Linked DNA regions of Arabidopsis thaliana. The protein of the gene in region 1 interacts with the protein of each later gene in a pairwise test. Each region holds a gene or a part of one and is shown in the gene's direction. Other genes may lie near its edges. The genes, in order: AT1G15150, AT1G11940, AT3G13175 and NHL1.

What was found.
Region 2: the proteins of AT1G15150 (region 1) and AT1G11940 interact in a protein complementation assay, tested with the Arabidopsis thaliana proteins (one large-scale study listed by BioGRID).
Region 3: the proteins of AT1G15150 (region 1) and AT3G13175 interact in a protein complementation assay, tested with the Arabidopsis thaliana proteins (one large-scale study listed by BioGRID).
Region 4: the proteins of AT1G15150 (region 1) and NHL1 interact in a protein complementation assay, tested with the Arabidopsis thaliana proteins (one large-scale study listed by BioGRID).

What each region holds. Positions count from the first base shown.
Region 1 is NC_003070.9:5,210,281-5,217,478, forward strand, and holds AT1G15150 (MATE efflux family protein), read left to right. Parts: upstream 1-2,194; 5' UTR 2,195-2,393; coding exon 2,394-2,651; exon of another isoform or gene 2,652-2,766; coding exon 2,767-3,311; intron 3,312-3,394; coding exon 3,395-3,481; intron 3,482-3,560; coding exon 3,561-3,617; intron 3,618-3,708; coding exon 3,709-3,947; intron 3,948-4,076; coding exon 4,077-4,282; intron 4,283-4,371; coding exon 4,372-4,443; 3' UTR 4,444-4,762; downstream 4,763-7,198. Other genes in the region: AT1G15140 (FAD/NAD(P)-binding oxidoreductase), read right to left, coding at 123-185, 269-349, 434-529, 692-791, 1,310-1,857; AT1G15160 (MATE efflux family protein), read left to right, coding at 5,195-5,452, 5,568-6,112, 6,192-6,278, 6,358-6,414, 6,518-6,756, 6,890-7,095, 7,194-7,198.
Region 2 is NC_003070.9:4,029,471-4,036,484, reverse strand, and holds AT1G11940 (Core-2/I-branching beta-1,6-N-acetylglucosaminyltransferase family protein), read left to right. Parts: upstream 1-2,329; 5' UTR 2,330-2,538; coding exon 2,539-2,826; intron 2,827-2,908; coding exon 2,909-3,025; intron 3,026-3,100; coding exon 3,101-3,201; intron 3,202-3,325; coding exon 3,326-3,397; intron 3,398-3,527; coding exon 3,528-3,609; intron 3,610-3,756; coding exon 3,757-3,837; intron 3,838-3,937; coding exon 3,938-3,979; coding exon of another isoform or gene 3,980-4,015; exon of another isoform or gene 4,016-4,170; coding exon 4,171-4,227; intron 4,228-4,318; coding exon 4,319-4,465; intron 4,466-4,552; coding exon 4,553-4,717; 3' UTR 4,718-4,951; downstream 4,952-7,014. Other genes in the region: AT1G11950 (Transcription factor jumonji (jmjC) domain-containing protein), read left to right, coding at 1-273, 352-681, 762-1,043, 1,119-1,191, 1,274-1,359, 1,440-1,559, 1,664-1,738; AT1G11930 (Putative pyridoxal phosphate-dependent enzyme, YBL036C type), read right to left, coding at 6,187-6,264, 6,346-6,444, 6,534-6,667, 6,770-6,857.
Region 3 is NC_003074.8:4,233,781-4,238,835, reverse strand, and holds AT3G13175 (uncharacterized protein), read left to right. Parts: upstream 1-3,021; 5' UTR 3,022-3,255; coding exon 3,256-3,576; 3' UTR 3,577-3,761; downstream 3,762-5,055. Other genes in the region: AT3G13180 (NOL1/NOP2/sun family protein / antitermination NusB domain-containing protein), read left to right, coding at 157-240, 336-422, 654-745, 832-892, 1,021-1,080, 1,184-1,244, 1,396-1,503, 1,635-1,753 and 4 more; ATSPO11-1 (Spo11/DNA topoisomerase VI, subunit A protein), read left to right, coding at 4,644-4,698, 4,828-4,927.
Region 4 is NC_003074.8:3,676,524-3,682,176, reverse strand, and holds NHL1 (NDR1/HIN1-like 1), read left to right. Parts: upstream 1-2,233; 5' UTR 2,234-2,516; coding exon 2,517-3,146; 3' UTR 3,147-3,582; downstream 3,583-5,653. Other genes in the region: DGD1 (UDP-Glycosyltransferase superfamily protein), read left to right, coding at 1-43, 145-494, 577-1,087; NHL2 (NDR1/HIN1-like 2), read left to right, coding at 5,191-5,653. UniProt on the Arabidopsis thaliana protein: May play a role in plant immunity.

The sequences.
Region 1 (7,198 bases):
TAAGGGACTACAAAATTCTGTGTGTTTATGAATTAGAGAGGCCTTGAAGAGGACTTTCGTATCAAAAGAATAATGATGTGAAGAAACAGTAAAATTATACGATAATACAAGAACTATATCTGTCAAAAGTTTTTGAGCAGCTTGTCATTTGAGACTCCATCAGCTACAAGCATTGAAGTTATCTCCTGCAACAATACAAATCGAAACAATGATAAAGATACACATCTTCTAAAGCATTTAGGTTCTCATAAACAAAAACAGTGCATACCTCAGCCATTTGTTTCTGTCCGCACAGCACCGCTCCCGTGGCCTTGGGAGCTGATAGCTGTTTAGCCCTTGCAAAAGCAGCCTATACAACACATTATGTATATATTAGTTTGATCCACATTGAGTTACAGCAGACTTGACTAAGGAGCACGTTTCTCAATCTCACCTGCACATATCCAGTTTCCCCTTTCCACCCATCATCTGGCTGTGATAATACCGGCACAACTTTGACACCCGCTGATTCCCACTCTTTAAACTTTTCCTACAAAATCAAGAGCGTTTCCAAGATGATTCTTCTGTAGATCAAAATGAGAGCGAGAGATAGGCTTTACGCTTATCATCAAAAGATTTTTATAATTCAAGCACACACATTTATATCTACTGACATCATGAATTGCAAAACAACTGAGAGAAAGAACCAAACCTGGTAAGCCATCCTATTCAGGTTCCTAGCCCCGTAATAGAGTCTTACGTCAGATCTTCTATCAGCGCCAAATCCTGATTCGATTAGTGAGCGGATGGGGCTGCAGAGATAAGAACATGTGAGATTACATTCCAAATTGAAGACAGTTACTTAATTCACATCACCATCACTAAACATTTTTGATTGACCAGGCCTAGAACAATAGATGATTGAAAGAAACACCTTTACTTGGCATAAACAACAGATCTGATCGATCACCAAAGTCATAAAAACATTGACCTTTCATACATGAAACTCTATTTCAGTATTACAACATCATCACAGTAAAAAAATAGCCACAAAATTGGTCCATGGCACCTTTGGATAGATTGAAATCATACTGGAGTTCACAAAAAAGGTCCACAAAAAAGCAATTGAACCCGGCATCACAGAGGATTCACCGCAAAATGAGTAACTAAACTAGATTCAAGATACTTGAGTTTGAAAGCTTTGTATCTAGCTAATGCTCTGCACTGAAACCTTTAAACTAGACCACACTTGGATCATTGAATACATGAAGTAAAAAAGACAACTTCAGCAATCCAACAAGGTAGGAGAGAAAATGGAAAAAGCTCTCACCTAATTCCAGATCCAGTGGCGAAAATCAAAACGGTGGGATATTCCTCAGGAGGATCAATCAGATCGATATTGAAACCATTACCCATCACAGAGCTAAGCTCAACGGTCTCTCCTTTCTTCAACCCGCAGAGAATCTCCGCGGTAGAACCAGCGATGCTCTTGACCAAGAATTCGAAAGCACCACGAGAAGACGCCAAGGAAGGAGGAGAAGCGATTGCCATAAAAGAAGGCTTCTCAACATCAGGAACACGGATCTGGAGATACTGACCGGGTCTCGTGTACGAAGCTACGAGATCCGGAGCGTTTGAAATGTCGATTGAGATGTGGAAAAGCGATTCTGCAGCTGATTCGATTAGAGAGAGAGGAGCTGGAGTCCAGAGGGAAGCGTCCTGGCGAACGGCGGCGGCGGATACAACGGAAGCGACGCGGTTATTTCGGGATAAACGGAGATGGCGTGTAAGAGGGAGATGGCGCAGGATAAACATGGGGGAGAGGGAGTGGCTAAAGTGCGCATGGGTGACAGAAGGCGCGAAAGGAAGAGTGGACATGGTGGAGAGTTTTTGGGGCTCTATATGTGACCGTCAAATTTAGCCGGCGGTAGAAAAGGGCGGCCCGATTGGTTCGGTGGCACGATTGTGTTATTTTTTTTTGCTATGCACCTAATTTCCTTCCGTTACAATGTTTTGCCACGTGGATGATCAAAATATCATTCTATCTACTTTCCGACCACTTGTTGTGATACTTCGAAAATTGCATTCCCTCTTCATTTAATTTTGCTAGCTCGTCTTTCAAAGAAAAAACACCAAATCATGTAATTAAAAGACAGAATTGTGGAAGAAAAGTGACAAGCAATATGCATATTAAAAAACGTAAGAGTACATTATCAATGAACACTCCCTACCGTTGAGCCAAATTTAACGTATATATTTCATTCATGGTTTTGGAATTTTGCCAAGTGGCACTACACTATAGATTCCCTTGGTAAGGAATTACACATAACCAAGCACCAAAAAGCAGACAGTAGTACTTCACGATTATCACTCACCACTTTCCGTTTCAACTTTCAAACTCTCTCTCACAAGCCATGCAAGACGCGGAGAGAACCACCAATGATCCGGTAGACAGAATTGAGAAAGTGACATGGAGAGATCTGCAAGACGGATCTTTCACCGCAGAACTCAAGAGGCTTATCTGCTTTGCGGCTCCTATGGCTGCCGTGGTTATCATTCAGTTCATGATACAGATAATCTCAATGGTGATGGTGGGTCACCTCGGTAGACTCTCCCTCGCTAGCGCTTCCTTCGCAGTCTCCTTCTGTAACGTCACTGGCTTCAGCTTCATTGTTTGTTTTCCTTTTCCTTCTTTCCTCTAAATTGACGCACTTATCTCTGTTACTAGCTACCAGAACCATGGAAATTGCATCCTCTCCTCACTTTCTTGTTACTTTTTGATGATAGATAGGATTGTCATGTGCCTTAGATACTTTGAGTGGTCAAGCTTATGGAGCTAAGCTATATCGGAAACTAGGTGTTCAGGCTTACACAGCTATGTTCTGTCTTACTTTAGTGTGTCTCCCTCTCTCTCTCCTATGGTTCAACATGGGAAAGCTTATTGTGATCCTTGGCCAAGACCCTGCTATTGCTCACGAAGCTGGTAGATATGCCGCTTGGCTCATCCCAGGACTGTTCGCTTACGCCGTTCTTCAGCCGCTCATTCGCTACTTCAAAAACCAGAGCTTGATCACACCTCTCCTCGTCACCTCTTCTGTTGTGTTTTGTATCCACGTTCCTCTCTGCTGGCTTTTGGTTTATAAGTCAGGGCTTGGTCATATTGGAGGAGCCTTGGCTCTCAGCTTGTCATACTGGCTCTATGCCATTTTCCTTGGATCTTTCATGTACTACTCCTCTGCCTGTTCTGAGACACGCGCGCCGCTTACCATGGAGATATTCGAGGGCGTTAGAGAGTTTATCAAATATGCTCTTCCTTCTGCGGCTATGCTTTGGTACATCACTTTTCTCTGTTCCTTTTTCACTTCTCATTGCCTCCACATTTTTTGTTAGAAACTCTTTTATATATGGGTTGCAGCCTGGAGTGGTGGTCATATGAACTCATAATATTACTTTCTGGTCTGTTACCCAACCCACAGCTGGAGACTTCTGTGCTCTCTATCTGGTACTCATCCTTGCATCTTTCCATTTCCTGTCACAATCTTGAATTTGCAAAATCATAATGTTATTCATACTACGGACAGTTTCGAAACACTTTCAATAACTTATTCAATACCACTAGCGATCGCGGCTGCAGCAAGGTTAGAGCTTTTGTCACCACTATCCAGTACATAAATGCTGAAGTATACTTTCTGTTATGGTTTCATGTTCATAAGCAAGTACATTGTGCAGCACAAGAATCTCAAATGAGTTAGGAGCTGGAAACTCTCGAGCAGCACATATTGTGGTCTATGCGGCAATGTCTCTTGCAGTAATGGATGCATTGATGGTGAGTATGTCTCTATTAGCCGGCAGGCATGTTTTCGGCCATGTTTTCAGCAGTGACAAGAAAACCATCGAATATGTTGCAAAGATGGCTCCGTTGGTCTCTATTTCTATCATACTGGACAGTTTACAAGGGGTTCTCTCAGGTTCGAGATTTTTTCCCATTTCGTTTCTCAAACATAAGCTAGTGTCGAATATACAGCTCCAAGTTGTCATGCCTGTTCATGTTGTACTCTTTTCTGCCATTCTTCTAACCCTCGTTTGATGGTTGGAAGGTGTTGCAAGCGGATGCGGGTGGCAGCATATAGGGGCTTACATAAACTTCGGAGCTTTCTATCTCTGGGGGATACCCATTGCAGCATCTTTAGCCTTCTGGGTTCATCTGAAAGGTGTTGGCCTTTGGATTGGAATACTAGCCGGTGCAGTTCTGCAGACTCTTCTGCTGGCTCTTGTCACAGGCTGCACAAACTGGAAAACCCAGGTCCTTTCCTTTGCTTTTTGTCTTTCATGACATGTTTCTATTTTGGAATAAACATATCGATGTTCAATTGGATGCATTTTGAACTCTAGGCCCGTGAAGCGAGGGAGCGAATGGCTGTGGCCCATGAATCAGAACTTACAGAGTCAGAACTTCCCATCTAAGATTACAGGGACACAGATGTTCCTCCTATTTTACCATTTTTGTAGCAGCCAAATCGTTATATGTTACTGCTGGACTAGTGGTTGCCGTGAATAATTGGTCTTTTCTTTTGTAATATTAGCAGCCCTCAGCAATCGTTATTTCGATGAAGCATTATTCTGGTAGTTCAGAAATACCTTGGACAGAAAATGATGTAGTGATCCAATTCTGCTGATACCAGCTCGCTTATACCTGTAACACAGTAGTTGCGAGTCAGGAAATAGATGTGGGAGCTGCTTCTGAGTCTTGGAGCTAGAGTTTTCAATCACTGAAAATGTTTCTCGACACAGACCTTCACAAGTGTCTCCACAAGTAATAATGACAGGATCACACATATATTACTATCACTAGAAAAATATAACCACCAACAACGTTGCTTTATGTATTCAAACTTTCTTACGATGATGACAATATAGTTTGCAAAATGCATATTAAAAAAAGAAAACGCAGAGAGCCAAGAGTCAGCATCAGTAATCACGCCACAAAAATAAAACGCAGAGAGCATATTAAAATGTTGAATTAATAGGTGGAATAAAGTGACGATTATGTGTTACAAAAATGAAAAATATGGTTTTGTATAAAAACACCAATGTGGCAATGTACATAGTCTTAAAGAACAACACGTACTAAAGCACAAAAAGCAGACAGTAGTTCTTCACTCACACCACTTTCAGTTTCAAATTTCAACTCTCTCTCTTTAGTGTCTCTCTAGCCATGGAAGACGCAGAGAGCACCACCAAAGATCCTGTAGACAGAGTTGAGAAAGTAACATGGAGAGATCTGCAAGACGGATCTTTCACCGCAGAACTCAAGAAGCTTATATGCTTTGCGGCTCCTATGGCTGCCGTGGTTATCACTCAGTCCATGTTACAGATCATAACAATGGTGATTGTGGGTCACCTCGGCAGACTCTCTCTCGCTAGCGCTTCCTTCGCCATCTCCTTCTGTAACGTCACTGGCTTCAGCTTCATTGTTTGTTTCCTTTTCCTTTTTTCCACTAAAATTGACGCACTTATCTCTCTTACTAGCTACCAGAACCATGGAAATTGTATCCTCTCATCACTTTACTGTTACTTTTTGATGCTAGATGGGATTGTCATGTGCCTTAGATACTCTCAGCGGTCAAGCCTATGGAGCTAAGCTATATCGGAAACTAGGTGTTCAGGCTTACACAGCTATGTTCTGTCTTACATTAGTGTGTCTCCCTCTCTCTCTCCTATGGTTCAACATGGGAAAGCTTCTCGTGATCCTTGGCCAAGACCCTTCAATTGCACACGAAGCCGGAAGATTTGCTGCTTGGCTCATCCCAGGACTGTTTGCTTACGCTGTTCTACAGCCGCTTACTCGCTACTTCAAAAACCAGAGCTTGATAACACCTCTCCTTATCACCTCTTGTGTTGTGTTCTGTCTCCATGTTCCTCTTTGTTGGCTTTTGGTTTATAAGTCAGGGCTTGATCATATTGGAGGAGCCTTGGCTCTCAGTTTGTCATACTGGCTCTATGCCATCTTTCTTGGATCTTTCATGTACTTCTCCTCTGCTTGTTCTGAGACACGTGCACCGCTTACCATGGAGATATTCGAGGGCGTTAGAGAGTTTATCAAATATGCTCTTCCTTCTGCGGCTATGCTTTGGTACATCACTTTTCTCTGTTCCTTTTTCACTTCTCATTGCCTCTACATTTTTTGTTAGAAACTCTTTTATGTGTTGCAGCCTAGAGTGGTGGTCTTATGAACTCATAATATTACTATCTGGTCTCTTACCCAACCCACAACTGGAGACTTCTGTGCTCTCTGTCTGGTACTCCTCCTTGCATCTTACTAACTCTCGTCACAATCATGAATTTGCCAAAACATAATGTTATTTATACTATGAATAGTCTCCAAACACTTTCGATGACTTATTCGATACCACTAGCGATTGCAGCTGCAGCAAGGTTAGAGCCACCATTATGCTGTTCATAAATGGTCAAGCATACTTGCTGTTCATGGCAAGGAATCATATGGTTTCATGTTCATAAGGGGATGTTTCTTGTGCAGCACAAGAATCTCAAATGAATTAGGTGCTGGAAACTCTCGAGCAGCACATATTGTGGTCTACGCGGCAATGTCTCTTGCAGTAGTGGATGCATTGATGGTGGGTACGTCTCTATTAGCTGGTAAGAATCTGTTGGGCCAAGTTTTCAGCAGTGACAAGAATACCATCGACTATGTTGCAAAGATGGCTCCACTGGTCTCTATTTCTCTCATACTGGACAGTTTACAAGGGGTTCTCTCAGGTTCGAGAACTGTTCCTATTTCTTTTCTCAAACATATACTAGTGTCGAATATTATGTTATGCACTTTTTAGTCAAAGATAACTAAAGGTGAACTCTTTTCTGCCATTCCTAACCCTCATTTGTTGGTTTGCAGGTGTTGCAAGCGGATGCGGGTGGCAGCATATAGGGGCTTACATAAACTTTGGAGCTTTCTATCTCTGGGGGATACCCATTGCTGCATCTTTAGCCTTCTGGGTTCATCTGAAAGGTGTTGGCCTTTGGATTGGAATAATAGCCGGTGCCGTTCTGCAAACTCTTCTGCTGGCTCTTGTCACAGGCTGCATAAACTGGGAAAACCAGGTCTTTTTCCCTTTTCTTTTGTTCTTTCTTCTTCATGACATGTTTCTATTGTGAAATAAACATATTGATGTTCAGTTGGATGCATATTTGAACTCTAGGCTCG
Region 2 (7,014 bases), 1.2 Mb from region 1:
ATGAAGAGGAAGGCAGCTTCGAGGGACGGATCTAGTGACAATTACCTTTATTCTCCTGATTCTTTGGATGTCCTGAAGCAAGAAGAACTTCTGCATTTCCAAGAGCATTGGTCCAAAGGTGAACCAGTGATTGTTCGAAATGCTCTTAACAACACAGCTGGTTTAAGCTGGGAGCCAATGGTGATGTGGCGGGCTTTATGTGAGAATGTTGATTCAGCAATTAGCTCTAATATGTCTGATGTCAAAGCTATCGATTGTTTAGCTAATTGTGAGGTAGAAACTCATTTTCTTATAAAGTTTCTATAGCTGTATAAGAGGTTATAAAGCTCATTTTGTTTCTTGTTATTTCAGGTGAAGATAAATACTCTATGTTTCTTTGAAGGATATAGCAAAGGAAGAACATATGAAAACTTCTGGCCTGAGATGCTGAAGCTGAAGGATTGGCCTCCTTCAGACAAGTTTGAAAACCTTTTACCTCGTCACTGCGATGAGTTCATTTCCGCATTACCATTTCAAGAATACAGCGATCCTAGATCAGGAATTCTCAACATTGCTACAAAACTTCCTGAAGGACTTCTTAAACCAGATCTTGGTCCAAAAACTTATGTTGCATATGGGACTTCAGATGAGCTCGGTAGAGGAGATTCAGTCACTAAGCTTCACTGTGATATGTCAGATGCTGTAAGTTTCAGAATTGTTACTTAGTACTGTTAAATAATAATACGGTTTCTCAGGTGTATAACGGTTTTTTGTTTTTGTAGGTTAATATTCTGATGCATACTGCTGAAGTAACACTAAGTGAGGAGCAAAGGTCTGCAATTGCAGATTTGAAACAGAAACATAAGCAACAGAATGAGAAAGAGCTTCAGGAGCAAAATGGTTTAGAGGAAGAAGAGGTTGTGAGTGATGAGATTGTGGTTTATGATGAAACAAGTGGTGCACTTTGGGACATCTTTAAAAGAGAAGATGTTCCTAAGCTTGAAGAGTATCTAAGGAAGCATTGCATAGAATTCAGACATACTTATTGCTCTCGTGTTACAAAGGTAAGAAATAATCCACAAAACGTTTTCAGTTCCGAGTCTTAGAGGTTATTGTGCTGATAGGATTCTTTATGTTAGGTGTATCATCCAATACATGATCAGTCATATTTCTTAACCGTGGAGCATAAAAGAAAACTCAAGGCAGAATTTGGTATGGTTACTTGTAACTGTAGTAACTGTCACTTACCGACATTGTATTCTTACGTTTTTGTGTTTGTTTGTTTGAACTAAAGGGATTGAGCCATGGACATTTGTGCAAAAGCTAGGAGAAGCAGTGTTTATTCCAGCAGGTTGTCCTCATCAAGTTCGGAATCTCAAGGTTATTATTTGAATGGAAGCTGTCCTATTAACTAAACTTTTTCTCATTATCTTTAACTTGTATTATGGATTTTGATACAGTCGTGCACAAAGGTAGCTGTTGATTTTGTTTCCCCTGAAAACATCGATGAGTGTCTCCGTTTGACTGATGAGTTTCGACAACTCCCTAAGAACCATAAAGCCAGAGAAGACAAACTTGAGGTGATTCTTTTTCTGATATTTTCAATTTTGGATTAGCAACTTCTGTCAATGGATACAGTTTTGTTTGTAGTTGAATCTTGTTTTAATCTTTGCCATGTGAACAGATAAAAAAGATGGTGATCTATGCAGTTGAACAAGCTCTGAAAGAAGTGGAGACATTATTGCTAGATCGCAGCTAAAAGCTCTATAGCTTTGTTGTTGTAGGATTAACAGCAGATTTTGTAGAATTGTTAAAGCCATGGCTATTGTAGTTGGCTTTTGCTGTGATATATGTATGTAAAAGAGACAAGTGTCTCTTGAAAAGAATGATTTCCTTTTTTTCAAATGGGATTTTGATGTAACTTTTCCTTTTCCGGTCTGTTTTGGCATATGAATGAATATTTGATGTAAGCTTCTTTTGTATAGTTTTGTATCTTTACATCATTTTGAGAGCAAATGAAAGTTTATGATATGAGAGCATCATAGATTCATAGTAGCAAATACAATTGGTTCAGTTGTTGCTTGCAAATTTTTACTGCAGTAAATATGGATTGTTTTGTTTTCAAAGGTTTTAAAATGACTTAATACATTAATTTCCAAAGGTTTTGTTTTAAGGTATTTTTTTTTTTTTTCTAATTGTATAGAAGGAAATACAATAATTAATATTCCTAGTCAAATTGTATAATTTTCATACCATTTTCTGACAATTTCAATTTCGGACAACAATTTAATGATGTTCTAATTTAACGTGGGTCCCAACTAACTTAAAACGTGTACGTGGCTTACGACGTCGTTTACAAGTTTATACGTCGAACTATCAACATCATTCTACCTTTCTTTCTCTCTTTCTCTCAAAATCCAAAATGTTGTAATTTGCAATTCTTCAGTTTCCGTTTCTCTCCTGAGAAATTTATTGACTTCAAAAACCCTAAAAAGACTTGTGATTGTTCGTTTCTCTAACTCGAATGTTGATCGTACGACGGTGAGTGATCGTAGTACAATGACGAAGAAATCACAGCCGCAGATTCCGCCTCCATTGTCCCGTCGCGGCGGCGTCGTGTGGCTGGGATGGAAACTCGTAATCGCTTTCTCCGTCGCGCTTTGCCTTCTTGCTCTTCTTCGAATCCAACTACAGTACAATTCCTTCACGACATTGTCGTTTCCACTCTCCGTCGCGAGATCTCAGACACCGCTTCACAAATACTCCGGTGATCGTCCCAAGCTCGCTTTCCTTTTCTTAGCTCGCCGTGATCTCCCACTTGATTTTATGTGGGATAGATTCTTCAAGGTCAAAAAAGATTCTTAGTCCTATTAATACTTGTCCGTTATTCTAAATTTCGAAAAAATTGCTGATTCTGGTGATTTTGCAGGGAGTGGATCATGCGAATTTCTCAATTTATATACATTCAGTACCTGGTTTCGTGTTCAATGAAGAAACTACACGATCACAGTATTTCTATAATCGCCAATTGAACAATAGCATTAAGGTGAGTGTTCATGAGAATTTCTCCATTTGATGTTTTTTTATAGTGAAACTTAGGGTGGTGTTGTTATGGTTATAGGTAGTATGGGGAGAATCAAGCATGATTGAAGCAGAAAGATTGTTGCTTGCATCTGCTTTAGAGGATCACTCCAATCAAAGATTTGTTCTTCTCTCTGACAGGTTTGCTTCTTTCAGCATTACTCTTTCAGATCATCTTATGCCTGACCACTTATTGCATCTGACTTTGAGCACATTTGTGGTTTGTACGGACTTATTTCATTTTCATCTACTTTCTGTTTTGCAGATGTGCTCCATTATATGACTTTGGCTATATATACAAATATCTTATCTCTTCACCGAGGAGTTTTGTGGATAGGTAGATTGAAAGTCTGAATTTATGAGGTTTCTTAGTACTTCATACTTGATATATATGGCCTGATAACTGGTGTATTATAAGAGGAGTTGTCTAGATGTTGATAACTATGTTTGTTGCTCTCTATTGGCAGTTTTCTTCATACTAAAGAGACACGGTACAGTGTGAAAATGTCTCCTGTCATACCTGAAGAGAAATGGCGAAAAGGATCCCAGGTATCTTCATTTTCTTGCTTAGGAAATGAACATTGCTACCAAGATTTTTGAAGCCTGAGTTTCTTGTGAAAATTTAAGCATTAGGAGGATAGGGACCTTTTAAAGTTCATGAAGTTTTTAATCTCATCTTAGTTTTATCTATTGCAGTGGATAGCTTTGATCAGAAGTCATGCAGAGGTCATTGTAAATGATGGTATCGTATTCCCAGTTTTTAAGGAATTCTGCAAGGTAAAGATTAAGCTTTATGATCATGACTTTAATTTCAATCTTGATTCTTTGTTGCTGAAGAAACAATAACTTACTTCTTGATTTCTCTTTCGATTTGCAGAGATGTCCACCTTTAGGTACCAATGAGGCATGGTTGTTTCTTGTAAGTGCTATTTCAAAGTTGGTATTTTTCATTTAATACCAGCCTGAATGTTTATGTTGATTCTTTGTGTTGGTTTCAAAACAATCTCAACAGTGTCTTTTCTGTAGTCTATGAATACTTCTCTCCATTGATTAACCTCTTTCTTTATTAAACAAATGGGGAAACTTTTATTACGTTTGATGTGAACTCAGAAACAGAAGCGACGCAACTGCATCCCCGATGAACACTATGTGCAAACATTGCTTACGGTGACCATCATATCTGATACACATCTCTCTCATTTTTGTTTCCATCTAAAAAGTTCCATATTGTTAATGTATTACAAACTGACCATTTCAGATGCAAGGACTAGAGAGTGAAATGGAACGAAGAACAGTGACATACACTGTATGGAACGTTTCAGGTACAAAATATGAAGCCAAATCTTGGCATCCCGTCACTTTCACATTGGAAAACTCCGGCCCTGAGGAAATAAAAGAAATAAAGGTACAATCTTTTTGTTCAGAGGATTAATATCACAACCGAATGAATCCCTAAGTAATCTCTCTAGTTCTTTTGCTTTTCTCGGGACAGAAAATAGACCATGTCTATTACGAGTCTGAATCTCGAACGGAATGGTGTAAGGCGGATTCGAAACCCGTCCCATGCTTTCTCTTTGCAAGGAAGTTCACGAATGAAGCTGCTATGCGCATTGTGAGTGAAGGACTAATAGGATCATCAGCAAACAAAACCTTATAACTTTGCAACAGTGTAAGCAAGTAGGTCAAGCAACAGAGCGTATACATAGAGTAGGAATAGCATTGATACATTACAAACATCCCTCATGAGGTTTAATGGTTTATGATTATATATGACGCTTAGTAAAAACTAATAATCATTCTTCATGGATAATCTTGTGTTTGGGTGTTAAAATTTCTATGTGTATATGTCTGAAGAAACTGGCTTCGATTAATAGAATATGTTAATAGCAAATTCTACTCTGGATTGATGTCTTTTACTCATTCTCCTGGAAATTGTTAAAAAAAAACTAAAATTTTCAAGGACTCGAACACACAATAATGAAGTACATAAACACTTAACCAAAACAAACTTTTTAAACAAGTGACCTTACATTTTTCTTTATAGTTGGTAGCGTAAAGCACATGTTTTGGTTGCTTTATGGGCGGACTGGGCCTAGTTCGTCGGAATTCTAAGCTTCTTTTGCAAATCTGATGATTCCATAGAAATGAGTCAAACGACGAGCCGTTGGACGGTAGTTGAGCTCAATTGGGCCACATTTTTTGAAAAAATTTGTTCACTAAAATTAGCTTAAAAAAAACATTTTTTTAATTGGGCTACAACAATGCAATTATTCCAAATCCATAGTATTGGCATTGTCATTTTTATAAAAATCTCTCTGAATCTTTTAAGTTCAAAAATCTTAACCATTAAAAAAATTCCCAACCGACTCGAGCTAAGCCTAGCAATCATAAAAAAAGGAAAACTTCCATTAACGAAAACTTCTCATCAGAAACTCAACTCCTCCTCCTCCTCCTGCAATCTTCTTGTTTTCTCTTTAGGCTTTTATTTTCATTTGGGCTTAAAACCCATTATCCTCTCACACTAAATATTTTTAGAAAACAAAAATGCTCATACTTATTTAAAAGGAATTTTGTATATAAATGAGTGATTGTGATTAATTTTGAGATGTATGGTAATTTTTTTTTATAATATATATGGTAACTTAATGGTAACCATATAGTTAAATGCAGAGTCCAATAAAAATGATCACCTTGGGTCTGAAAAATTGAAATGATGAGAAGCTCAGTTTGAAGTTTGAACTTTGAAGCATCTGTACTATGTAGTGGATTTTGCTTTCAGTGTTTCATAACACAAAAGAAGTATTAAAATCTTAGTTAGCAGAGCTCTCAAACCAAAAGAATAGTAACAAGTGGTTGTGACACCCTTTTAACTACTTCTCACTAGTAACGTAGCAAAGACAAGATTCTTTATTCTTCTTTCATGTGTTTATATCCATGAAATTAGAAAAATAGTAATAATGTACCTTGGTTACAACTTACAAGCAACATCACCAAATACAATGCAAAACAAAAGAAGAGAGAAGATCTACATGATTTCAACATTAAAACCTAAGCTCTTATTCTTCCCTGAAACTGGTTTTGATGTTCAAACTTAGAATCAATCTCATCACTCAGTAGTTTACATCATTACTTCTTAGGATACTCTCTCGCCCCGAAAATAGTAGATCCTATTCTCACATTTGTGCTTCCCAGTTCAATCTGCAACTCACCAAACCGTAAAGAAAACTCTTTAACATTTTGAACAGAAAGAATTTTTCACTCGAATCAACAATCACAACAACTTACTGCTAGTTCAAAGTCACCAGACATCCCCATAGATAGCTCACATTGCTCCTCCGGTATTCCAAGCTCCTTACACACTTCACTTCTGCATTTCGCAAGCAACTACACTTACAATAAGAAACGAAAGTGAGCTCTTTTAAGCATCTCACGATATTACCAAACATTATAGGTTCAAACCAGATTATATAAACCTTGAAATTCTCTGGGGTTGAAGTGTAATCAGCCATCCCTATTGTCATCAAACCAGAAAACTCAAGATTCGAGCAAGCTTCCTTCACGTGTTTCGCCAGTCCTACGCATCCCGAGGGTTCCACGCCGAATTTAGCTGAAAGTTTTGGTGAATACGATCATGTAAGATAGCTTTAAGAAAAGTGAAAGTGGGAAAACATTTGAGATAAATGTTGAAGAAGAAATTCCAGATTCTTACAGTCTTCACCACTGGTATTCACTTGGACAAATACCTTCAAGGGCTTTCTTCCGATATTACCAACCACACGATCAAGCATATTTGCAATCTATAAAGCATATGCAAATAAACAAAACCGGTGGACTGTCACACGTATATTCCTCAAGTGGTTTGATCACTTATCAAACTCTCAATCCATCTTTAATATCACTACCCACAAAAGTTCAACAATAGAGTCCACTATCTGGATAATTGTAGTATTCTTA
Region 3 (5,055 bases), on another chromosome or scaffold:
TACAAATGGTTACAAAAGTAGATTTGGTCATTGAAATGAGCGCCAAATAGCCTTAATCATATTCTGCATGATTTCTTCCTACTAACTTAGTGAGGTCAAAGATTTTTCTGATATTCGTTATTACTTTATCTTTATTGTTTACTTGCTCATTATCAGAACGTAAGGCTTGCAAAGGTTGCCCTCAGACCTGGTGCTGGAGATTTTGTCAATGGGATTCTTCGTAAACTAGTCTCTCTTAAGGTTTCTCTTTCTTAAACTTTTTTCCATTTTTCTTTTTAGTTGTACTTAATCAAACAAACTTAAGCTTCTATGAATTCTGACGTAGGGATCTGCAGGAAAAAGATGCCCTTCCATTACCCAAAGTGGAAGGGGATGATCGTGCACAGGCACGTGCACTTGCTACTCTTCATTCACATCCCGTTGTAAGTTTGTATAGCTACAGCCTCATCTTTCCATGCTGTTTTAATTCGAAGCTAGAGCTAGTTGGTGGTATGAAATCGATACTTTGAACTTGTGAAGCTCCTAGATTACTTGGTTTTAGCTATGAGGATATCTATGTAGTGCTGAACAACTATGTATTGCTGAACAACTGCGATAAGGCTTCATTCCTGTTTGATGAAAGAAACTCTCATTTTGTTTCCTTTCCTTCCTAGTGGATGGTTAGACGATGGGTAAAGTATCTTGGGTTGGATGAAGCCACAAAGCTAATGATATGGAATAACAATGATCCTGGATTTAGCTTAAGGTTTATCTCCATAACATTTTGTATTCACAGAAGGAAAGATAAGTTATTAGCTGTCAGACAGATAATACTATTTCTAATAATATCAGGGCCAATACGGGAAGGGACATTACAAGAGCAGACCTTGTGGAGCGTCTAAACAGTTTAAAGGTTTTTTTCGTTTAATGTTTCTCGTTCTTTATTCAGTTGAAATCATCGTGTTTGTGTAAAACCAGGCACATGATTGTTTCTTATAATGCTTAGTTTCTTACTTCAATTATGGCTTTCCTATGCTGCAGGTTCCACACGAGCTATCCTTACATTTGGAGGAATTTGTCCGCATCAAAACAGGCTTGCAGGTGTTGTAATGTAACCGTGAATTGTCCTCTTGTTGGCAATTTTCTTATCCTAGTTTTTTTACTGATAAGTTTCATAATTGATCATGGGCCTTTTCTTTAACAGACCGTTGTGCAAGCTGGTTTACTCAAAGAAGGCATCTGTTCTGTTCAGGACGAGAGTGCAGGTCAGTTTGGTCTTGTAATTATTTGGACTGCTCCTGAGAAAAGATACAGTCTCCTCTTCATTAATTTTTCATGCTGTTAACAGATTTAAGTTTATCCAAAATCCTTTTGTTCTTTTGATATCTAAATATCTCCCCACATCTGGTACTGCAGGACTAATAGTCTCAGTGGTGAAACCTCAGCCAGGCGAGAGGATAATGGATGCATGTGCTGCTCCTGGAGGAAAGACCCTATTCATGGCATCTTGCTTGAAAGGCCAAGGTAATATTACAAAGACCCCTTATTTTCCTCTATTGTACATTAATGTTGAATTAAATTATCTATTTTGAGAAACTTTTCTACTATACTTGACTGATTCCATCCTCAAACTGGCAAACTCGAATCGATTATAGGTATGATATATGCTATGGATGTGAATGAAGGACGGCTAAGAATTCTTGGTGAGACAGCAAAATCACACCAAGTTGATGGACTTATCACAACCATTCATTCTGATCTTCGTGTCTTTGCTGTAAGTTAACATTATTTGAGTATCTGAAGTTTCCAAGTTTGTAAGCTACTCACATGCTTCCTTCCAACTTAATGTGTTTTAGGAAACCAATGAAGTACAATATGACAAAGTTTTGCTTGATGCCCCGTGTTCTGGACTCGGCGTCCTCTCCAAGGTTAACATGAGAAAAGTTTATCTAACTGTTTCGCCAGCAAGATTTAACATTGCTAGTTGAATTGACCTGATCTGATTAACCTGTTCCCATTAATCTGTATTTTGTAGAGAGCGGATTTGCGCTGGAACCGTAAACTTGAGGACATGTTAGAGCTCACTAAACTGCAGGATGAGCTTCTTGATTCTGCCTCCAAGTATGCACTCTGTACATACATTTTGATGAGTCATTTGATTAATTCTGAAACACTAATATGCGACTTATCTGATACTTTTATCTGTGACACTCTTGATTGAATCTCAAAGACTGGTGAAGCACGGTGGGGTGTTGGTATACAGTACTTGCTCCATAGACCCCGAGGAAAATGAAGGAAGGGTCGAAGCATTTCTCTTAAGACATCCTGTAAGAATCTTTATAATCCATTTGCTTTCCTTCAGATGTTGATATTAACAAATAGTCTCTCTGCTTTCACAGGAATTCACCATAGATCCAGTAACCAGTTTTGTACCGTCGAGTTTTGTAACCTCACAAGGCTTCTTTTTATCAAACCCAGTGAAACACTCACTAGATGGAGCATTTGCAGCTCGTCTGGTTCGAGCCTTGTGACGTTAAAAGCAAGCTGTATTTGTCTCTGCTGAGAGTTTGGATGCAATTAGACGAAGAGGATAAATGAAAACACCTTCTCTTTTATTCGTAGAGTTGGGTTTTATGAGAGAAGTGTAAACTTGTAGAGATGCTGCTAATTGTATGTTGATATGTTTAAAGAAAATGCCTCGCCGTTTTGCCAGAGCTAGAAAGTAGAAACGGCGGCTCGTGTAAGTTCTAACAAAAGAGTAGTCGTCTGTTAGCAACCCAAATCGGGCTTTTAAAGGCCCATATTTTGGTCGGCCTGAATCCAAAGTTAAAAATTCAATCATGCAAAACGGACAACATTATAACTGAATTGAAAATATCTCTCTTATCATTATTTTAGCTTTGTACGATTTACTATTTATGTCAGAAAATGTTTCATTCTTTGACTTTTACGACAACTTTACAAAAAAAAAAATGTTCATACAAGTCACAGAACAAAGTAACATAAAAATCTTAAAAATATATTATCATTTTCGTTAGAAGAAAAACAGTATAATTTTCAAACGCGTTTAAAAACAAAATAACTTGAGATTTTGACGTTATCCTTGTCACAGAGAATCTTTCCTATTTCTTTACGTATAGACACTCAGAGGAAAGACAGAGAGAGAGTTAGCATTGTACTATCTCTCTTTTAGATATATCTCTATCTCTCTTCACTCCATCTTTCTCGTGTTAACACAACAGTCACAGACTCACAGATCTTTGTCGGTGATCGGAGATGGAGTTCCGGGAGAAGCTTTTGAAGTTCAAGTTGCAAATCGTGTTTGCCTTTGTTTTATCTCTCCTCACCGTAGCTCTCGTCGCTTATTCTCCCGGTTTCCTCACCGTTCTATCTTACTTCTGGCCACTTTTTCTCTCCACGGCTCTCTTTCTCGCTGCCGTTTTCTTCTTCGCACGCACCTCCGATCTCCCGGTTTCGTCTACCATCATCCCAGGCGAAGGCGCAGGCTTAAAAGTGGCGGCGGAAGGGATTCTTGACTATGTCGTCGGCGGACAACACGAAGACATTCTCTTTGATAGCTTCACCAAACTTGACTAAGTATGAGACCTCTCTGTTCTTAATTCCTTAAGTATTTCCGTTAATTAGTTGTTCCTTTTTTAATACTAGAGAAAATAAAATTACAAAATGTAATATTTTCACGAGGAATAAAATCTTGCTTAAGTTTATGCTTCTATATTACTTATTTTAATCTTATGTTTCTGTTTAGGCGCGAGGCTTCTTTTCTTTAGGTATCTCTCATTAGTTTATACGTTACAAGATTACACATTGCATTGATATATGATTTTACTTTCAAAAAAAATTTAAATGTTGAACGACCTTAAAATCCGTGCGCTTTACTTTTAAATCTTTCCGAATGAAACCCAACCACCGACGCGACAGCTTTTCATTTGTTTACTAATTAAACGGAACAAAGCAATTTAAATGTTATCAGTGTTGTGTTTTAGTTAGAAATACTATAAATAATACAAGATGCCTCTTTTGTTTTAGAACTTTTTTGGTATCATGAATTCGTTATCGGATAAAATACGTTAAAGCTAAGTAGTATATTCTTAGATTATATATAAATTAGGTGAGCAATCTATCATAGAGAAGAAATGATTAAAATAAGTGTATGGCATAATAGATTCGAACATTTTGGTATGTTCCTCACGTGTCCGAGCATAAAGCTTATGAACAAATCTCGACCACTAGAAGTCTAGAACTAATTCTAATCTAGTTTACCATACACATTAATTATTTCAAATTTAGTGCACATGATTATTTTATATTGGCATCACTAAAATGTCTCCAAGTCTGAATAAATCGATTTATATTGGTTTGATTGTTATCATGAATCTTTTTCACAATCACTTTGCCTAGTTTCGGATCGGGCCTAAAAGCCAACGGCCCAACGTGTTTAAAAACACATGCGTTTTTAAAATGACACGTCAGTTACGTATCGGGCCTAAATGCCAATGGCCCAACGTCATGGAAAGTAGGAACTAAACGACACGCATGTTTAAATTCGAAGGTTTTAACGGCAAGCTTTTCGCACCCATCCCTTTTCTTCCCGTCTACAAAAATTCGTCGACCATTGCATTTTTCAGTTTTGAAACTCGAAAGAGATGGAGGGAAAATTCGCTATTTCAGAATCGACTAATTTGCTTCAAAGGATCAAAGGTATCAGAAAATCCCAAAATTTTCCGAATCGTATTGAGTAATTTGTCCTCTAATCTATGTCGAAATTTCTAGTCGATGACTTCGCTGGCTCTTCCGTTGTTCATCACTATGTTTCGGTTTTTTGAGCAGATTTTACTCAATCGGTCGTTGTAGATCTGGCTGAAGGAAGATCTCCAAAAATTTCCATCAATCAATTCAGGAACTATTGCATGAATCCAGAAGCTGATTGGTTTGTCTCTCTTCGATCTCGATTATTCAATTTTGTTTTCACTTTCTTTGATTGAAGAATCAGACGTGTTTGGTCTTTGGTTCGAGACATTTTTGAAGGATTTAAGCACAACGTCAACGAGTATTGAA
Region 4 (5,653 bases), on another chromosome or scaffold:
GAACCATGTAAACAATTGGGTCACACGAGCGTATTGTGACAAGGTGAATCATCTACTCTATTTCTTCAAGCCTTGTTCTGTTGCTTGAATCCTCTTTACTAATAAATAGTACACGAGCTAATACATATTTTCTACTCATGAAAGGTTCTTCGCCTCTCTGCGGCAACACAAGATTTACCAAAGTCTGTTGTATGCAATGTCCATGGTGTCAATCCCAAGTTCCTTATGATTGGGGAGAAAATTGCTGAAGAGAGATCCCGTGGTGAACAAGCTTTCTCAAAAGGTGCATACTTCTTAGGAAAAATGGTGTGGGCTAAAGGATACAGAGAACTAATAGATCTGATGGCTAAACACAAAAGCGAACTTGGGAGCTTCAATCTAGATGTATATGGGAACGGTGAAGATGCAGTCGAGGTCCAACGTGCAGCAAAGAAACATGACTTGAATCTCAATTTCCTCAAAGGAAGGGACCACGCTGACGATGCTCTTCACAAGTAAGTTCTGAAAAATGTGCTTTGCTTTTAAAAACTTGTTAAGGTTTCGCTCTTTGATTGTCTTTCCCACATCTTGATGAAGGTACAAAGTGTTCATAAACCCCAGCATCAGCGATGTTCTATGCACAGCAACCGCAGAAGCACTAGCCATGGGGAAGTTTGTGGTGTGTGCAGATCACCCTTCAAACGAATTCTTTAGATCATTCCCGAACTGCTTAACTTACAAAACATCCGAAGACTTTGTGTCCAAAGTGCAAGAAGCAATGACGAAAGAGCCACTACCTCTCACTCCTGAACAAATGTACAATCTCTCTTGGGAAGCAGCAACACAGAGGTTCATGGAGTATTCAGATCTCGATAAGATCTTAAACAATGGAGAGGGAGGAAGGAAGATGCGAAAATCAAGATCGGTTCCGAGCTTTAACGAGGTGGTCGATGGAGGATTGGCATTCTCACACTATGTTCTAACAGGGAACGATTTCTTGAGACTATGCACTGGAGCAACACCAAGAACAAAAGACTATGATAATCAACATTGCAAGGATCTGAATCTCGTACCACCTCACGTTCACAAGCCAATCTTCGGCTGGTAGATATTTCCCCATAGGCCACCCAGTTATTGCTTGTGACTTATTAAACCACTACGTTATTGTTATCCTTTTTTACTTTTACAGTTGTTGTAGGTCGTTTGTTTGTTAATAGAAAGGGTAGATTATTATTAGATGTCTTTTTGTAAAATATCAATACGAAGCGTATTTGATGATATATAAAATAACTATATTGGCAAAAATATGAACTATGAAGGCCGTTTTCGTGATTTTGTTCTTTTGTTTCACGAATTCAAGCTATTCCCCTTTTTTTACGCCAAAGATGAAAAGAACCCTCCCTATTAATATCGCTATTGTCTAAAATTTCGAAAACTACTTTAATCACGACTAGACCAAATATATGTCGACCGATACCGATAGAGAAATTAGTGCCCCGTCTAATACTTTCTCTCCAAAATTACAGAATATTTAGAGTAGTTAATCAACGTAACACGACAAGGAAAATGATGGAAAAAGTGGTGGTTTCTGCTTTGGCAACTAGTGTTAGGTCACTTACGTCCTCTTTTTCTGTATTGGAAATTACGTGGATAAATTGAACTTTCTTTCAATCTCTATCAAATTATTAATCCACACATGTATACGCAATATATGATCATTAAATAAATAAAAAGTTAGATTGGTCTATAAATTCGTATCACAAATGGACTAATAATTTGTAGTGAAAACTCATTTACCCATGTGACAGCTCCAAATTTCTGAACTTTTTATTTTGAGGGATGGTACAAATCCGAGTTCCATGATCATGGAAAAATCAAATTTAACAAACACAAATTACTGTTTGAAACAAGCAAGTTACTATATATGTAGTTTGATTTCACACTAGAGAATCTACTGATAATGAATTTTTTATATATCGTGAAGCTGAAAGTGAAATTATAACTAGCTAGTTGAATTGCTTATTATGGTTGGAGGGGAGCCGATGAAAAATTCTTCGACCACACATAAAGTCACCTTTCTAAAGAACACTTGCACCGACCACATCAATCACGCATTCATAAATTTTCAACATTTATATAAATGTAGGAAAAAAACAAAATGAATTATAGAGAATACAAAATGACAGTTAACAATAAATATATCACAACATAAATTTTATGTAAGAAGGTTAGCATGATTTTTAAAAATATATTGTTGTGATTAAATGGAAAATAAAAATGTAGAATACTTGTTTCTTTAAAAGGGTCTTTGTTTTGATTACAATTTTTTTTTTTAAAGAATACCTTTAATATTAGGGAGAATTATTATAGTTTATAATATGAGAATACCTTTATTTCCCTATCACACTCCTATAAATCCTACATATAATTAGCCCATTATTTAGAGCCATCACTAAAACAAAAAATCTCTTAACAACTTCTCCACCTTCTCCCCACCACCACCACTCACCGTCGGAGAAAGAAAAAAAACAACCACCATGAAAGACTGTGAAAACCACGGCCACTCTCGCCGGAAACTAATAAGGCGAATATTTTGGTCAATAATCTTCGTCCTCTTCATCATCTTCCTAACAATCCTCCTCATTTGGGCAATTCTCCAACCATCAAAGCCACGCTTCATCCTCCAAGACGCCACCGTCTACGCCTTCAACGTCTCCGGCAATCCACCGAACCTCCTCACCTCCAACTTCCAAATCACTCTCTCTTCCCGGAACCCTAACAACAAAATCGGCATTTACTACGACCGGCTTGACGTCTACGCTACTTACCGGAGCCAACAAATCACTTTCCCAACATCAATCCCTCCCACGTATCAGGGACACAAAGATGTCGACATCTGGTCGCCGTTTGTTTACGGAACCTCCGTTCCCATCGCTCCTTTTAACGGCGTTAGTCTTGACACCGATAAAGATAACGGTGTCGTTTTGTTGATCATTCGTGCTGATGGTAGAGTGAGGTGGAAGGTTGGGACTTTTATCACCGGGAAGTATCATCTTCATGTGAAGTGTCCAGCATATATAAACTTCGGTAACAAAGCTAACGGAGTTATCGTCGGAGACAACGCCGTTAAGTATACGTTTACCACTAGTTGTAGTGTTAGTGTGTGAAACGGCGACGAAGAAAAATAAGGTAACTAAACGTCTTCGTTAAGTAATCTGTCTTAGTGATGTGAATTGTACATTTTGCTTATACGAATAGCAAATATTACAGATTCGTGATGTTGTAACGAATTTTAAGAATTTCAATATGTATACTTTTTTTTTATTATAGTTGAATTCTAAATTCTATTATAAGTTGTGATGATTTTTTCGAAGTATTTTTTTTGCTGATTTTGATGCATCTTCTGATCCTGTCAAATCGACTTTTGATGACTTTTTCTTATGTATATGGTAAAGTTTGATGGCGATGGAGATTAATTTTTAGTTGAATAGATTAGGCTCGTTAATGTTTTGTGGACGTTGTGTGATGGTGTCATTGTCCATTTGTCTCCATCTTTTTATTAAATTAAATAGAGAGATGCATTTTATATAGAGACTATTCTACAACAAATAAGACATTTCAAAAAGATAAATTTTGTGGATTGGATTATTTTTAGTCACATCTATGGATTTATAGATAAGTTCTATTTGTTGGTGTCTGGCTTAAAAAAATGTTTTTCGTGCACTTTAAAAGCCCATTCTCCTAGAGTTTTGCTACATTGAAATAAAGTTAATACATAACGTTACTTACAAGAATTTAGAATCCGTGGATATTATCGTGGATATTATCGTGGATATTCTTGGATTACCGTGAATATTCTTGGATCTTGAATTGTGAAAATCAGAATCCGGTCTAGAGACTTATTTCTCGTTTATCTGCATTTCCATTCATTTAACTTATAATGTGGTCCATGAAATTGACCAAAGAAATTAAAGGGGAATATGGTCCTTTAAAACTTATTATCTAAGTTGGGAATGAAAATAATATAAGAAACGTTAGACGAAAAAAGTCAGTCACCAATAAGACTTTGGATATCAGTCACATGATATATAGTAGTATATAAGCAACGTTCCATACTTCTATCTCAAATAAAGTTGAGAAACCTAACTTTGGATTTCCTTTGATTTTCAATAAAAATAAAGTGGTTATGAACGTGCTGTGTGTGCTGTTCACACAAAGGCACTAGAACGTCCGAGTAATGCTCAGCCAAACTCACATAATTTTCTGAAAAATGGCCTTTGCTACCTAACTTAAAAATAATTTACAACAACGGAAACTTTAGATAGTTGATCATTGATCAATAGTGCGTGCATCAGTGCATGCATATTTGGAATGAATCAATATTGATTACATATGCAGTGGATCTATCTCAAAATAATACTGATCAACTATTTGTAATATAATTCTTCATTCAAACAAATTAAGTGTTTTAAAAATGTTAATAATTATGATCTCTATCTTAGACATTTTGAGTTTATGTGTTCATGACTATATTTAGTGTAGTTCCATGAAACTAGGGTTTTAGTAGCGTCTTTATGTTCGTCTACTAACGGGCTACACTATTTTATGTTGGGCCGAATTTGGGATAAGCCTTCTACAATTTGGGATATCACTCATCACATTTTACATATTCCTACTTTCTTCCTTAGCATTGAGAAACAAACTTGAAAATAACGCCTACTTAAACCTAGTTTTATGGAGCTGCACACTAAATAAATTGTTTCTTTTTAGTAACAATAGTGGCTAGACGTTTAATTATTAAACCTTTACATTTGAAATGCTTCTCGATTGCTGAAAAAGCTCTGACCACATTCAAAACGTAACGGCACTTCTTTTTCAAAAAATTAAACCGTTGGTTAAGTATAACCGATCTTGGTTATCTATCAATAACAACAACAAAATAGCAAATAATGGTCACAATTAATTTTCCTTGACCAAATCCTTCATTCATTAACCAAATCAGACCAACAAAATCAAATATTCGCGTCGTTTTGAATTCGTTTCCTTAATTAAAAATAAAACGCGTTTCATTAAAAGCAGAATTTATCTCTTTCTCTATCTATATAATCTTCTTATTCTTCTTCACTGAGCCATTTTTATTCTTAGGCTAAACAAATTCGAATTCTGAAACCTCTGTTTTGAATTTCTCTCTGAGGCAATTCGTCGAACAACATGGGGTCCAAACAACCATACCTAAACGGCGCGTACTACGGACCATCAATTCCACCACCGCCTAAGGCTCACCGCAGCTATAACTCACCTGGATTCGGATGCTGTTGCTTCAGCTGCCTCGGAAGCTGTCTACGTTGCTGCGGTTGCTGCATCTTAAGCCTGATCTGCAACATCCTCATAGCTGTAGCCGTAATCCTCGGAGTCGCCGCTCTTATCCTCTGGCTCATCTTCCGTCCAAACGCCGTCAAATTCTACGTCGCCGACGCTAATCTGAACCGATTCAGCTTCGATCCAAACAACAACCTCCATTACAGTCTCGATCTCAATTTCACAATCCGTAACCCTAATCAACGAGTCGGAGTCTACTACGATGAGTTCTCGGTTAGTGGCTATTACGGAGATCAGAGATTCGGATCTGCGAACGTTTCGTCGTTTTATCAAGGGCATAAGAATACGACGGTGA